Tamandua tetradactyla: one gene and its partner. The protein of the gene in region 1 interacts with the protein of each later gene in a biochemical or structural test. Links are inferred from orthologs where the notes say so. Each region holds a gene or a part of one and is shown on either strand. Other genes may lie near its edges.

Evidence for each region.
Region 2: the proteins of NEDD4 (region 1) and RAP2A form a complex in vitro, tested with the Homo sapiens proteins (2 studies listed by BioGRID). The link is inferred for Tamandua tetradactyla from reciprocal best matches to the Homo sapiens genes NEDD4 and RAP2A.

What each region holds. Positions count from the first base shown.
Region 1 is NC_135340.1:71,135,250-71,142,768, forward strand, and holds the start of NEDD4 (E3 ubiquitin-protein ligase NEDD4), read right to left. Parts: upstream 3,015-7,519; 5' UTR 1-3,014. UniProt on the Homo sapiens protein: E3 ubiquitin-protein ligase which accepts ubiquitin from an E2 ubiquitin-conjugating enzyme in the form of a thioester and then directly transfers the ubiquitin to targeted substrates. Specifically ubiquitinates 'Lys-63' in target proteins.
Region 2 is NC_135330.1:166,206,624-166,214,293, forward strand, and holds the start of RAP2A (ras-related protein Rap-2a), read left to right. Parts: upstream 1-4,653; 5' UTR 4,654-4,713; coding exon 4,714-5,027; intron 5,028-5,259; coding exon of another isoform or gene 5,260-5,455; exon of another isoform or gene 5,456-5,677; intron 5,678-7,670. UniProt on the Homo sapiens protein: Small GTP-binding protein which cycles between a GDP-bound inactive and a GTP-bound active form. In its active form interacts with and regulates several effectors including MAP4K4, MINK1 and TNIK.

The DNA of each region.
Region 1 (7,519 bases):
GACTAAAAAGAAATAGCATTATATTTGAGAATTTATACAGTAATTATAAACCTAATGTTTATGTTATTTGGTTTCATGAAACCTATCTCCTTTATGATTTTACAAACTTCAGTAAATTATTCCTTATCATCTTTTTTTTTTTATATAGAAGGAAGAGTCCTAATCTTTTTACCTTGCCTTCACATGACTACAGCTTTCCTTTTTGGATTAAGATGGAGGTCTGGTAACCCAAATAATGGATTACTTGCGATGGATCAACAATGCAAATCTAATTTCCAGTTAATAAGCAAAACATCTCTGTTAATAGAAAATAACAAGCATCATATATTTGGTTGGATAAACGTTTTCTCTTTGATAAGCTTCACTATAAGCATTAGTTTCATGACTCCTAACTAGATTTTAAGCTTCCAGTGTTCAAGAACCATAACTAAACATTTCTTCCAATCCTCCTGAACTCATGCTGGACACAAAGTAAGCACTAAACTATACCAGGCACGCTGTCTGCCTGACGCTTCCTTTCAGGTTGTGTGTGTGTGTGTGTGTGTGTGTATGTGTGGGAGAGAAAGTGAGAGACATTGATCCTAGCAAAAAGCACTGCAGCTTGACAAGAAGGAAAGGAAAGTTTGCAGAGAAGGATTCAGCAAAGGAAAGGTAATGTAAGAGAATATATATGCAACTCCTAACACTCCAGTCTGAATTTAAATCCTAGAGAGGCTGAACAGTTTGTACTGCTGGCCGAGGTCTAGGATTACACAGAATCAGTAATACCGATTACAGATACTGCTGTGGAACCTGGGGTAAAATATGGCCTCTTAGCCCATAAAATGCCAAAAGAGGGGCATCAACTCTAAGCTCAAGTAGGGAAGAACCTGAGAGTGGTGGCAGCCCTCATGTGAGAAACCCACACAAGTCCTGTGGGAATTCCATATCGAGTGAGACAGATACAGGCATTCCTCAGAGATATTGTGAGTTCGATTCCGGCCTACTGCAATAAAGCGAGTCGCAAATGTTTGGTTTTCCAGTGCATGTAAGAGTTACATTTATACATATGGTAGTTTATTAAGTCTGCAATAGCATTATGTCTTTAAAAATGTACATAAATTAATTAAAATATGACAGAGACACAAAGTGAGCACATGAAGTTGAAAAATGATATCGATAGATTTGCTCAACATGAAGTTGCCACAAACCTTCAATTTATAAAAATGCAGTATCTGCTAAGCACAATAAAGCAAAGTGGAATAGAACAAGGTATGCCAGTAATGCCTTATGATTAGATGGAGACTCACAACTCTTCTGAATGATTCTGGTTATTGATTATCTACAACAAAAACAATGCAATTGCTCACATGGTATATACAGGCCCTGGATAACTCTATCCACTGACTAGAATTCTTAAGGCCAAAGATCACGAAACCGGAGAAACACAGCATCTCCACCCAGAATATAGGAGTCTCCTAAAGCTTCAGTGGCTGGATGTGCAGACATATCTCTTAGGTGACACAGAAATAGTAACTTTTGTATTGGTGGGCAGAATTTTCTTAAAGACACATCATTCTAAAACGTTCCATCACCAGCATTACCAACATCAATATTACACCAACACCGAACACCAGTCCTATAGTTAATAATCAACCCTCAGGATCTAAGTTGACTGAAAAAATGGGAAAGCGAGCCTACACTTTCTTAACAGCAAAGGTCAGTTATATTGCAAAAGTGTTCCAAATTACAAAAAGTTATTTCTGTTTAAAATTATACCTATATTCTTTTCCCTACACTTCCTAATAGAACTTGCTAGGTAAAGGATATGTTCTTAATTTAGTTGTGAATGCTTCAGGAGAGACAGGATGACATGTGCAATGGCATAGGTCATTCAATGTTACAGAATCAAGTCTATTACTCTACCAGCCGCTACAGTTTCTGTAATATCTCAGTATCTGCACACTTCAGTTTCTTGCTAGGACTAACAACAACACACATGACCCAGTTCTAATGATCTTTTGCTCCCTTTTGCTAGTAAAGTGAGTTTCTTGAGAAAAGCAGCTATATTCCAATGCACAGCAAAGCATCTAACAATGCATACACTAAATGACATACTTTAGTAAACACAAAAAATACGGTGTCGGAAAGCCATAAATGCAGGAACCCAAGAATGTTAAATAACACTTCATATTTATATCATGATGGTTAATTTTCTGAATGCTTTCATAGTCATCTAATTTTATCTTTACATTAAACTTATCAGAAAGGCAGGGCAAATATTGTTAACCTCATTTTTAAAACAAAAGAAAATATTTTCAGAGGGATTAAATGACTCGTCCAGGGTTACAAGGTAATATACCACAGCAGAGGCAGGACTTCAATAAAACTTCTGAGACCTTGGTGTGGAGATTTATAATATCCTGATGAATGCATCTTTTGGTGTTGTTTTTAGTAAACAAATTTATTTTTATGTATCATACTTATCAATCTAGAAACATCCAATTGCCAATATTAGAGGCAAAACTTTTTCCTTCCAACTCATCATGACATCCCATATAGTACTGTGCACAGAGTAAATGCTTAAGGAATGTTAATGCACCAATCAATGTATGATAAACATCAATTTCAGCCATGAAAGAGTCATACCATATTAAAATTACTGTAAGAAAGGACTAAACAGCTAACCAGAGTGGAAAGGAAAAAGACGAGTTTTCCCTCTTTGAGGACAACAGATAAACAGTTGACCAACAATACACCCAAAAATCAGGGAGAAATTTATATCAGTATCAGTAATAACAGGAGAAATAAGATACTAATACCATGACTCAGCAATTCAACTCCAAAATATGGACCTTAGAGATGCCTTTGTACATGTCCATAAGGAAACACAGCAAGAACATTTACTGATTGATAATAGCAAAAAACTGGAAACAACCCAAATATCTACTAAGGAGGATAAATACACAAATTACGGTATTTTGTAGATACGGTATTATGGTCTTATCACACACATATACCCAAAAAGAAATTAAAGTTTCATTCTTTTTTTTTACATGGGCAGGCACCAGGAATCGAACCCGGGTCTCCAGCATGGCAGGCAAGATTTCTGCCTGCTGAGCCACTGTGGCCCACAGTTTCATTCATTTTTAAGCTAACAAGGACAATGGATTTTGTAGATCATAGAATACTATACATCAGTCAAAATGTGTCATCATGGATCAATCTAAAAAATATACATTAAACAAAAAAGCAAGTCACAAAAGAATGCATTCAGAATGATACGATTTTTATAGATACAAAAACAAGCAAAAAGAAACCAATTTTTAAAATGGATATATGATAAAAAATATCTTAAATTATAAACATAAAATTAGGGATAGTGGTTACTTATGGGAGAAGAAACGAGATACCACTGGGAAGGGACAAAGAAGGGTTTCAAAGTATTTGGTAATGTTCTAGTTGCGAAGCTGAATAATGAGTATACAGTTGTTTATCAAATTCTTTAAAATAAAAATTTGTCTTTCATATACTTTTTTGTTTATATTATACATTTTATGATTAAAAGAACACTAGAATTAAAAACAGAAAACATAAAGTTTGGTACCTGATCATATTTGGTAACCTAATCATCAGTATCTGCCACTCAACCTTAGAAAATCAGATTGTACACAGTGATGAACAGTCCTTTTTGGCAGCACCTTTGCTTATGATGATGCTAATTAATAGATTCATTTATGATATCTTCAGCTACTAGCACAGTTATGGTTTCTGGAGGGAAAAAATATGCTATGCATTTTAACACTAGACACAGATGCTCTCAAAATCCATTGTCCTTGTTAGCTTAAAAATGAATGAAACTGTGGGCCACAGTGGCGCAGCAGGCAGAAATCTTGCCTGCCATGCTGGAGACCCGGGTTCAATTCCTGGTGCCTGCCCATGTAAAAAAAAAGAATGAAACTTTAATTTCTTTTTGGGTATATGTGTGTGATAAGACCATAAGCCTTGAACAAATAACAGTGTTCTTATACCTATATGTTTAAATTTTACAGATTTAAAATATAAATGTAAGATGCTAAGAAGAGAATTAGAAATAGGATCTCTAAGAGAGAAAATAAGGAAAAGGATAGGACTTCAAGATAGTCTTTAGGAAATCAGGAACCATAAAATCATTTTATAAAAATCAGGTTTTATTTTGCTTTTTTCCAATGTAAGACTGGAAATCCTTTAGAGGAATTCATTTGCTTATTCCTTTCTGAGTGGAAACGGGATAGTTCTCCTTTGTAGAAGGGTGGAAATAAGAGGAAGGAGATGGGATGTAGTAAGCTGGATAGAGGTGAGCCCAGGAAAAGACACTGCAGTGAGGAGGCACAACCCAGGATACTCTGGAGAAGGCTCCCTGAGCCTTGGGCTATTGACCCAGGTACATAAATGAGCACGAGGAAAGGCAAGACAGAAACCAGTTTTCCTTATTATCTCTTGGGAGGATGGTGGAAAGGTAGAGAGGAGCACTAGAAAAAAGGAAAACCAAAATTGTATCCATCATCGCCCAAAGCACAGATTCCCATCACACTTTCCCTTGCTGCTCTACTGAAATATGCCCTTGTTTCATACTTCACACTAGCACAGTATCACTTACCAAGCGATTTTCATCAAACACTTCGAAAAGAAGCCGGTGTTGCTGAGGATGGACCTAAGTAACAAAAACACAAGATTTCTTTAAGAACAAGTGAACAGCTTCAGTTTTTGGTGTATTGGTGGAGCTACAGAGAAATGCCTAAAATTGCTAAACTGGAATCCAGTAACTTTGATTCTTGAAGGTTGTTGTGTAACTATATAACTTTCACAGTGTGACCAGGTGACTAATAAAACTTTGTGACTGAGACTCCTTTTATCTAGTGTATGGACAGATGAGTAAGAAAATAAAGACAATAAATAAATAAATAATAGGGGATATGGGATGTGTTACTTTTATTTGCATTATTATTTTTATTGTATATGGAGCAATGAAAATGTTCAAAAGTCTCTTGTGATGAATGCACAAATATATGCTGATACTGTAAACCACTGATTGTATACTTTGGATGATTATATGGTGTGTGAATATATCTCAACTAAATTGCATTAAAAAAAAACTAGTGAATATCAGTCCACAAATCCTGAGAAATCAGTGCTTGAAGTTTTGCCACCACCTAATGTGTTACTTACAATATATTTTATATTACATAAATTACTTAATAGTAGAACAGAGAATCATGTGTCAGCCATTTTCTAATAATTTTATAACAACAAGATGAATTTTGTTATTTATTTTTTAGTATTTTCTAAAATAGAAAGTAAGAACTTTAAATGATTATTTAAATGTTTGCAAGCACTTAAGTGTGGACTAGGTTTTAACTTATTATCAATTTTATTTAGTGACTTTAAATTTATTAGGTTAGAACCACCCAAAGTAGATGTTGGTTTTTATGGAAACTAGTGCTCTGAATCCTTTTAGTACCGACTTGACAAAACCATTTGTTGCTTCTACTACCTAAAGTACATAAACAATCAAAAAAGTATATACTGAGTTTTCACTTATTGTTTATACTTGATAGCCCCAGAGTAAACATTCACAGCAGTATTTTATATTTTAATGCTGATGCTTTCAGTCTTGCTGAAATCTTTCAAGGTCAAATGAAAAAAATCTGCTTAAGACTTCCTGGAAGATGGCGGCTTAGTAAGACGCGCGGATCTTAGTTTCTTCTCCAGGACACCTACTAGGGGAGTAGAAACGATACAGAAAGCGCCCAAAGCCACAACAGAGATAAAAAAGACAGCGTACCCCATCCTGGAACGGCTGGCTGGCTGAGAGAAGCAGCTTGGGTGAGATCGCCGAGGCGCGCGGGCCTTACCGGGCGGGGTGGCAAGCGGCCGGAGTTACTCCCTTCCCCCTTCCCGGGCCGGCTGGGAGAATTGGAGAGGTGGTCCCCTGAAACCAAGGCGACTGGCGCCCACACCACGCGCAGTCCCCGGACCAACTGAGAGAATTGGATCGGAAACCCCCAGGCCGCGGAGAACGGTGACCCCGTGACTCCCGGGGAACGTGCACTCTCTCGGGCGGGCCGCTCCCGCTGGCGCCCTCCCGCCACGCTTGTTGCCCAGGGCCGACTAGGAAATTTGGACGGGCTCTTTCCCTGGCTGCAGCGACCAGCAACCCTCCCTGCGTTCGGACCCCGGGCCGGCTCAAGCCGCTTCGGCTAGCGAACCCCCAGGACGGCGATAGTTTTCCAAAGTTTAAGGTCCCACAGCACCTTTTACTGGTGGGACCCGCAGACAAACGTGTGCCACGAGCGCCACCTACTGGGCAGGATAAGAAAAACAGAACCCAGAGATTTCACAGAAAAATATTACAACCTTGCTGGGTCCAACACCAAGAGAAATCTGAATAAATGCCCAGACGCCAGCAGCAGAAGATAACTGTCCACGCTCAAAAGATTGAGAATATGGCTCAGTCAAAGGAACAAACCAATAGCTCAAATGAGACACAAGAGCTGAGACAACTAATGCTGAATATACGAACAGAAATGGAAAACCTCTTCAAAAATGAAATCGATAAATTGAGGGAGGACATGAAGAGGACATGGGCTGAACATAAAGAAGAAATAGAAAAACTGAAAAAACAAATCGCAGAACTTATGGAAGTGAAGGATAAAGTAGCAAACATAGAAAAAATAATGGATAGCTACAATGATAGATTTAAAGAGACAGAAGATAGAATTAGTGATTTGGAGGATGGAACATCTGAATTCCAAAAAGAAACAGAAACTATAGGGAAAAGAATAGAAAAATTTGAACAGGGTATCAGGGAACTCAAGGACAATATGAACCGCACAAATATACGTGTTGTGGGTGTCCCAGAAGGAGAAGAGAAGGGAAAAGGAGGAGAAAAACTAATGGAAGAAATTATCACTGAAAATTTCCCAACTCTTATGAAAGACCTAAAATTACAGATCCAAGAAGTGCAGCGCACCCCAAAGAGATTAGACCCAAATAGGCGTTCTCCAAGACACTTACTAGTTAGAATGTCAGAGGTCAAAGAGAAAGAGAAGATCTTGAAAGCAGCAAGAGAAAAACAATCCATTACATACAAGGGAAACCCAATAAGACTTTGTGTAGATTTCTCAGCAGAAACCATGGAAGCTAGAAGACAGTGGGATGATATATTTAAAATACTAAAAGAGAAAAACTGCCAACCAAGACTCCTATATCCAGCAAAATTATCCTTCAAAAATGAGGGAGAAATTAAAACATTCTCAGACAAAAAGTCACTGAGAGAATTTGTGACCAAGAGACCAGCTCTGCAAGAAATACTAAAGGGAGCACTAGAGTCAGAACCGAAAAGACAGAAGAGAGAGGTATGGAGAAGAGTGTAGAAAGAAGGAAAATCAGATATGATATATATAATACAAAAGGCAAAATGTTAGAGGAAAATATTATCCAAACAGTAATAACACTAAATGTCAATGGACTGAATTCCCCAATCAAAAGACATAGATTG
Region 2 (7,670 bases), on another chromosome or scaffold:
TTCCTGCTAAAATGTAGGCTCTTTTGGCTAATTGTTCATTGTTTTATCCACATAGCCGAGAATAATATAATAGTAAATGCTCAATAATTATTATGATGGCTTTAATATACCATTCAGGATATAAGTAGAATGAAAGTACTCACAAATGCTTGTCACTTTTTGTTTTTTAGATACTATTTTGTCTTAAACCCCTCATACCTTATTACAGTTGAGGTATGAGGTATGAGTCAAATTTGTGTTTGACTGCAAATTGCAGAAAACTTTATGTGGGGTTAAATCAAAGGATGTTCACTGCTATATGTCCAAAAGTAGGAATCCCAGTATTGGTTTGGCAGCTCAACGTTGTCATCAAGAACTTATGTCAACATCTTTCTTTCTAGCCATCAGAAACTCGATGCCTTTCAACCTCAGAAATGGTGTATCATGGCCCAAAGATAGTGACCACATTCTCATAGTTCAGTGTGCAAAGCAGAAGTGGTAACAAAAAACAGGGATGTCTCCTCACTCTTGTTAGAATCCCCAGAAATTGCTTCAGCCCCAACGCTGTTCATATGCCAATGTCAAGAACTGAGTCATGTGCCTCCTTCTGAACTAAGCATGGGCAGAGGGGAGAGTACTGGTATTGAAGACCAATCCCAACTCATTTCTGGGTCTTTTGGCAAGATGAAAAGGAAACAGCAGGATATGCAAGCAACATTGCAGCCACACTTCTGCCACATTAAATGCTCCACATTAAATCTCTTGTTTTCTCAGAACCCTCAAGTTCTTAAGAAGTCTGTCTTTTCCCTATGTTTTAATCATCTATCCTTCTCTCTCGGAAATTTTTTCTTCTTAAAATTATTCTTTTAAAACATTTAAGTGGTTTCTTTCACTGACTGGCTTGTATGCTCAATTTGTGTTGTAATTATTTTTGTCTTCAAAATCACTGAAACTTACCACATTTTCAAAAGCGGAACAAGTTTACCCTGCTCCTTTCTTTCCACTGTTATATTTCTCAACAGTATTAAGAAAATATCTTCTGCTCTCTTTACAATTTCCAGCAGCATTTCACAGGCGTTAAATGTACTTGACTTGTCCTTCCCCTTTATGGATAGTCAGAGACATGCACACTTCAATAAAAGTGATAGGAATCAAGGTTTTATTAGCCAGGAAGTAATGGTCACATTACACACATACTGTACAACTTGTTTATACTAAATTATTTCCATATTTGCTCCTTGCCAGCATCAGGAAGTCCCAGAACACAGTGTATTTCCCACATAATTCCACCTTTTCTAACATATTTCACAGAAGGAAAGAAAGGAGCTGGGTTTCCATGGTAACACAAATGTGACAATTGCTGGTATTTGGGCAGAGGTGAGTGCTCTTTCACACTCAGTGGGAGAGGAGAAATGAAGTTGTTTTTTTGTTTGTTTGTTTTTGTTTTGCCCCTTGGCAATTCACTTCAGAAACTGAAGAGACCCTGCAGTATCAGTGTACAGTGTTAAGTTTTCACTATTACATAGATTTACAACTCTTAGGGAAATTTCAATTTTGTCTTCTCTCAATTATATGCTATCTTTCTCACAAACAATGAATGAAAATGTTTTTATTTCTAAAATCACCCTCAGAATAGATTATATTGGCATAACAATGAACATAATTAAGAGAACAGGAGATAGACACTCATCTCCCACCCATATCAGCAAAATTCTCTAAACACCCTTTCAGCAGCTAACCCTTCAACCAACATTGCACATACAGTCACAAATCAGTATCATTATCCACAGCAGAACAGGTGAGAAAATATGCTGAAAATATATCTGTCATTTTCTTTCATCTCTCAGTGGTTAAAAATCTACCTCCATGACACTGAGAGTGAAATTGAGGTTAGTCTATTTGAGAAACAAATAAACTGTGACTATCCAAAAACCACAACCGTTACACATCTCCTTTTCAAGAAAATCAGCACTGATGAATGATCAGGAGAAATAACCAGGGAAATGCCAAAAAAAAAAAAAAAAAAAAAAGCTCTCCTACTCTCTGTTGTGCGAAGTGGAAAAATAGGGAACCTAGTCACTAACTTTTGTGACAACTTCTATCTGATGAGCTCCAATCCAGAAATATCCAACTCTCTGGAAACCTAGGAGTAATGAATATGTTTGTTTGCTGTGGTTACATTCTGAACCCACAATCCCAATGCAAATTTCTCAAGCCACCGAACCTCTTTTTCTTGCACAGTGAATGGATTTTCGGTTCCACCGTAATACAAAGTTTTACATGGGTTGTAATTATCTATACAAAGAAACTTCGATGCTTTTTGACCCTATTTTTGCTGATTGTGATGGCTCAGATATAAACTCATATCTTGATGCCATGTAATCAAGAAATAATGACTGAGTTACGCTTTATTGTACATTACTTATTCGAAAGCACACCTGCCCTTAATTGTTTTAAACAAAAACTTGGTGTGTGATTCTATAGCAAGATAATGCAAAAATACAAATTATCCATTCCAAACAATAGAGTAGTAGGGCAGTAGGAGGCTGCGAAATCAAGATACATCTTTCTGGTAGTTTATTAATTGACAAAATGTGGTAAGAGAACGTCTGATTTTTAGAGACGCTCGGACCAAAATATTTATATGATGACCTTGTAGGGGAGAGAAATCGGTGGAGAGATCTGCCAGATCAAACATTAGAATTATAGAATTCATTATTCTCAAGAGATGTGAGAGACAGTAATGCGTAAGTGTAGATTAGTTCGAGAAAGACATAATTTAAGGAAGGGAAACCCAATAGCAAGTTATACAAAAATAATCCAAGAATGTTTGGGGATTTAACTCCTTCTAAATTTGAAGTCATGGCTAGGGCAGGGAGTGTAAATAAGCTTTAATGCTAGAGACAGGAAGTATTACACAGATGTTCTAAAAGGTACGTATAGAGCACCAATGTAACTGCTTCGTTATGCCTTCTTAATAACCCGAAAATTTCTCACCCTAAAGACAAAAGTCTGTTTTCCCGACCCATCCCACATCCCTGAGAACCATTTCCATGCCCAGCATTTAAGCAGACTGCCACCGAGGCTATGTTAAAAGCGGAATTCACCCCTCTCGCCTGCAACAAACCTCATTCCTTTGCCAGAATGAGGCACGGCGCCCAGCCCCTGGATCTTTGACCACTCCCAAACCACACCAGCCCCAAGCCTTGTCTCCATACTACCGGCCCTCGGTGGTTAATGTGTCGCTTGTTCTGGTTGGCGCAATCCAAGCCCAGGTCACTCAGCAGTTCACTACTATTGGTTGGCAGACAGTGCGCAGGAGCAAACGCCCAGCCCGGCGAGACTTCGAGGGGTGGGTTGGCTGACGCCGAGACGAATGTTTTTCCCCCATTGGCTGAAGAAGGTCCATCACATGGTATCAGGCAGCTCTCTATTGGCTGTGAGCGGTACCATGGGTCCTAGAGACGTGGTCTGGTTGGCTGGAATGAATCCAGCCTCCTAGATGTTCCAGCTGGCTGTTGCTAAGACGTATCCCTGGTCCTCCTGGCTATTGCACGGGGTTCCGCTCTCCAGGTTTTTCAGACGCCGGTAGCTGACAGGGCGTGGGAAGAGCTCGACTTCAGTCCCGCACCATGAAAGGGCGGGACTAGAGGGAAGGTGGGTGGAGCACGCGACGACGTCACCGGGCGTGGACCCGGCTTCGGTGGTGCCTAGCGGCGGCTGATTAGCCCATCGGGGAGTGGATTGAAGATACTTGTCACCTATACCTCAGTGTACTTACGCTTAAAACAAGGCTTCTATTCGTTATGTTTATACAACCTCAGGCAGAAGGCTGGAGGTTCCTGTCACGTAAAACAAAGCGCCATCTCGTTATGCTTATACAATATAAAGTCAAAGACAGTGACAGAGTGATGTCAGGCAAAGCCCCTCAACCAAAGGGCTCCTCAGACTCTTGCCCATCTCGTCCTGTCACTTTCCTGCCTCAAGGTAAAGCCTCGAAGATGGTATGGCTCTTCCAATATCTTGTCTCCCCAGTAATTTGAGAGTGGGATTCTCTGGTTGACGCTTTTTCTGTCTCAGGCAGACGGACTGGGCATGCTCAGTACACAGGCCTTGGTGTTCGATGGGGTGCCGTGGTAGGGTGTTGCTGAGTGGCCTGGGTGGTGGTTTGCTTAGCCGCGGGCAGAAGCTTCCACGCAGCCCAGAGCCTCCCCGGAGGCGCGAGGCTGGTCGCCTAGACGACTGAGGGGAGGAGGCGGGGATTTGCGGCCCGGCCCCGCCCCGCCCTGGACTGCCGGGCCCCGCCCCCGGTAGGCGCTGCGGCTGGGGCTCGGGCGCGCGCTCTAGCGCCTGGGGAGGCGGCGGCGGCGGCGGCGGGCGGGGAGCTGGGCGTGGAGGCGCGAGGGGCGGGGCGGGCGGCACTGCGGGCCCGCGGTTCGGCAGCTCCCGTGGCTCCTGCTCTCAGCTCGCCCTCTGTTCCTCCCGGCGCCCGCGGGGTCGCGTTGCCGTCCGGCTTGGCCCATGCCCAGGGCCGCCGCTCCCTCAGCTGCCGCCGCCGCCGCCGCCGCCGCCGCCGCCGCCCGGGGAACCGCCGCGGCCGTGAGGTGGGGGCGGCCGTGGGAGGCGGCGGGGCCAGCCGCCGGGGCAGGGTCCGGGGGTGCAGCGCGGCGGGCGTAGGTCTATGTCGCGGGCGGCGGCGGCGGTGGCAGCAATAGCAGCGGCAGCAGAGAGACGATGCGCGAGTACAAAGTGGTGGTGCTGGGCTCGGGCGGGGTAGGCAAATCCGCCCTGACCGTGCAGTTCGTGACCGGCACCTTCATCGAGAAATACGACCCCACCATCGAGGACTTCTACCGCAAGGAGATCGAGGTGGACTCGTCGCCGTCGGTGCTGGAGATCCTGGACACGGCGGGCACCGAGCAGTTCGCGTCCATGCGGGACCTGTACATCAAGAACGGCCAGGGCTTCATCCTCGTCTACAGCCTCGTCAACCAGCAGAGCTTCCAGGACATCAAGCCCATGCGGGACCAGATCATCCGAGTGAAGCGGTGAGTGAGCCGGGCGGGCGCGGCCGCGGGAGCCCCTTCTGAGCCGAGCTGGGGTCCCGCCCGGGCGGCCCCCAAAGGGTCACGGGAGGCTTCGCAGCTGGACTCGCGAGTCATTGTCCCACGGTCAGAAATCCCCCGCGTGTGTCCATGTGTAGGGGGAGCTGTCTAGGGAGATGGCTCTGAGGTTTTATGCGTTATTGTCATCATTATTATTTTGCATCTCAAATTTTAGCGCTTTGTTTCAGAACTTAAAATTGGCCATCCGGTTAACCCAAGGCACAGCTCTTTGTCTCTTGAATAAGGTTAGTAGCGCTCGTACAGAACATCAAGGGAAACAAAGTTTAAAACTTGCAGGGGGAAAAGAGGTGGGTAGGTTTGTGCTGGAAAGAGGGAAGCTGTACAGGATAGGCGAGACATTTTCAAACTGAACCACAAGAAGTCTACTTTTGCAATATTTGACAGCAGGAATTGCACATACATATCTGTAAAAATGTCAAGTGAAGAGCAAAGAGACCTTTCTCATCTCATAATAGGTGTAATGGTGCAAAAGCCTTTTAGAGAATGAACTCTAATTTAGTGGCAAACTTTAAAGACAGATTTACGTATTATTTGAAGACATAACGATTCAGTGGAATTGGAAGAGTTCTAGCATACAGCTGCACAAGTATGCTATTTACTAGTTAAAAGGAATGCAGTTTAACTGTTTAGGGAAATGGTTTTTTATTCCTTTTTTTTTTTTTTTAATCTAGCTGACTTCCCCCCTCAAAAAAAAAAAAGTCTTGCCTGGAAATGAAATACAAGCTGCTTCTTCACATGTGTGACCCAAGTATTAGCTAATTTAAAAGTTAAGGCAAATAAGGCCTTTCTTAATAAAAACACTTTTCTGAAGTATGCATTTTGGAAATATGGCTATTAGCTTAAATGGTTGAAACTGCTGGGTTTCTCTAAAGTTGATTGAATACTTTTTTTTCCCTATAATTTTAAGCCTTTGAAATGTAATATCTTCAGAGTTTTAGCAGTTTTTTTCTAGTTTCTATTTAATTCACATTACTGCTTTCTCTGGTTGTTATTACTTCTTCTTTGCTGGTAATTTTGCAGATTTAGTGTCACTTTTTTTCCCTACCTCATCTACTGTAGCCATAAATTTGAAGAGGTACAGTGAAAAGACAGCTTTAAGTTTACCATAAACACAATCTTATTATAAACCTATTTGAATCTACTAATTTTTAAAAAGTAATGACCGAGTCATGTGTACTCAGGGGATGCTCAAAAATACTTTCCTGATGGCGGTTTTTTAATGCAACATATGAGGTCCAAGGAGAGGCCCTCTCCCCCTGGCTCCCTTAACTGATTGGGTATATACTTTAATAGCTAAACTAAAATTTTGTATGTTATTTCTTGAGTTAAATTTACAGCAAGAATAAAGTAAATATTTTCACGCCCTCTTGCTCTTTTAAGATCTATTAATTTGATTAGCTTTTTACTTCAACAGTCTTACTTACTTTTTATTTCTACAGTCTTATTTACTTAAATTGTTTGTTGATGGTTAACAGATGGCAATTTTGGTATTAAACTGAGTATGTATATGACATTTAAGGGTCTGCATTCAAGAGACTCAAATGCTAAATTTCTCTCTACCCCCAACATCACTGAATTAAAAAAAAAATCTACAGAACATGGTAGTCTAATACATTGCCACATGACAGTCTTTAGCCAAATACATACATCAAATAATAATATAAATAAATGCCCCAACTGCCCCATCCTTCACATTTAAATATAAACATAAGGATGCGTACATACATTCAAAAAGTCACATACTCAGGGTAAACTTCGTGACACAAGCCTAGGGGAGAGAATATGGTATGCAAGATATCATTGGATAGTATAGTTCACAAAATTTTGTAGTTTATTATCTTTAGTACAAATTACTTTTCTCTGTATATAATAAATGTTAGTTTAAAACTGGTGTTCTAGAACATTTTCTTGCTTTGTGGCCCAGGGAAAACAAAATTAGAGTAAAATCCTACTTATCTGGATGTTGTTTTACCCATTCGTTTCAGTTTGTAACTTAAAAAGACAATGACCAGCCAAAATAGTGTTCGTAAACTCTTTTCACTGGAATTCAACTATTTTATCCCCAATACTTGGACCCTTACATCTATGACCTGTTATTTTATCCTACCCTAACCTCATCATCTGGCTTCCCAACCTATATAGCATATTATAAATAAATTAAAATTGAAAGGGAGATAGGATCTATGTTTATTATATGCAATTTAATATACATGTATAATGCATATATTATGTTAAAGCAGGGACTCAATGTACTTGTTCTCTGATTCTTCCTACCACTTTAAGTGAATAAAACATGGTTTTCAAGTAAATGCATTTTCAGCTGCTTTGGGGACCAATTTATAAATTAACCAGATATTGTTGGAGTTATCCAATAATTATTCTCTCCCCTCTGCCTCTTGTGTGTCTGGTAGCTGCTTTAAATATAATATACACATGTAAAGTTGTTTTGTGAAATTTGGTATGTCCATAATGCAGGATTAACTGAAGTGCAGAGAGATTTGGTATCTTAGTCAAGACCATTCAGTGGTAGAGAAGAGGTTTAAATCTGTGTGGAACAGTAGGCCC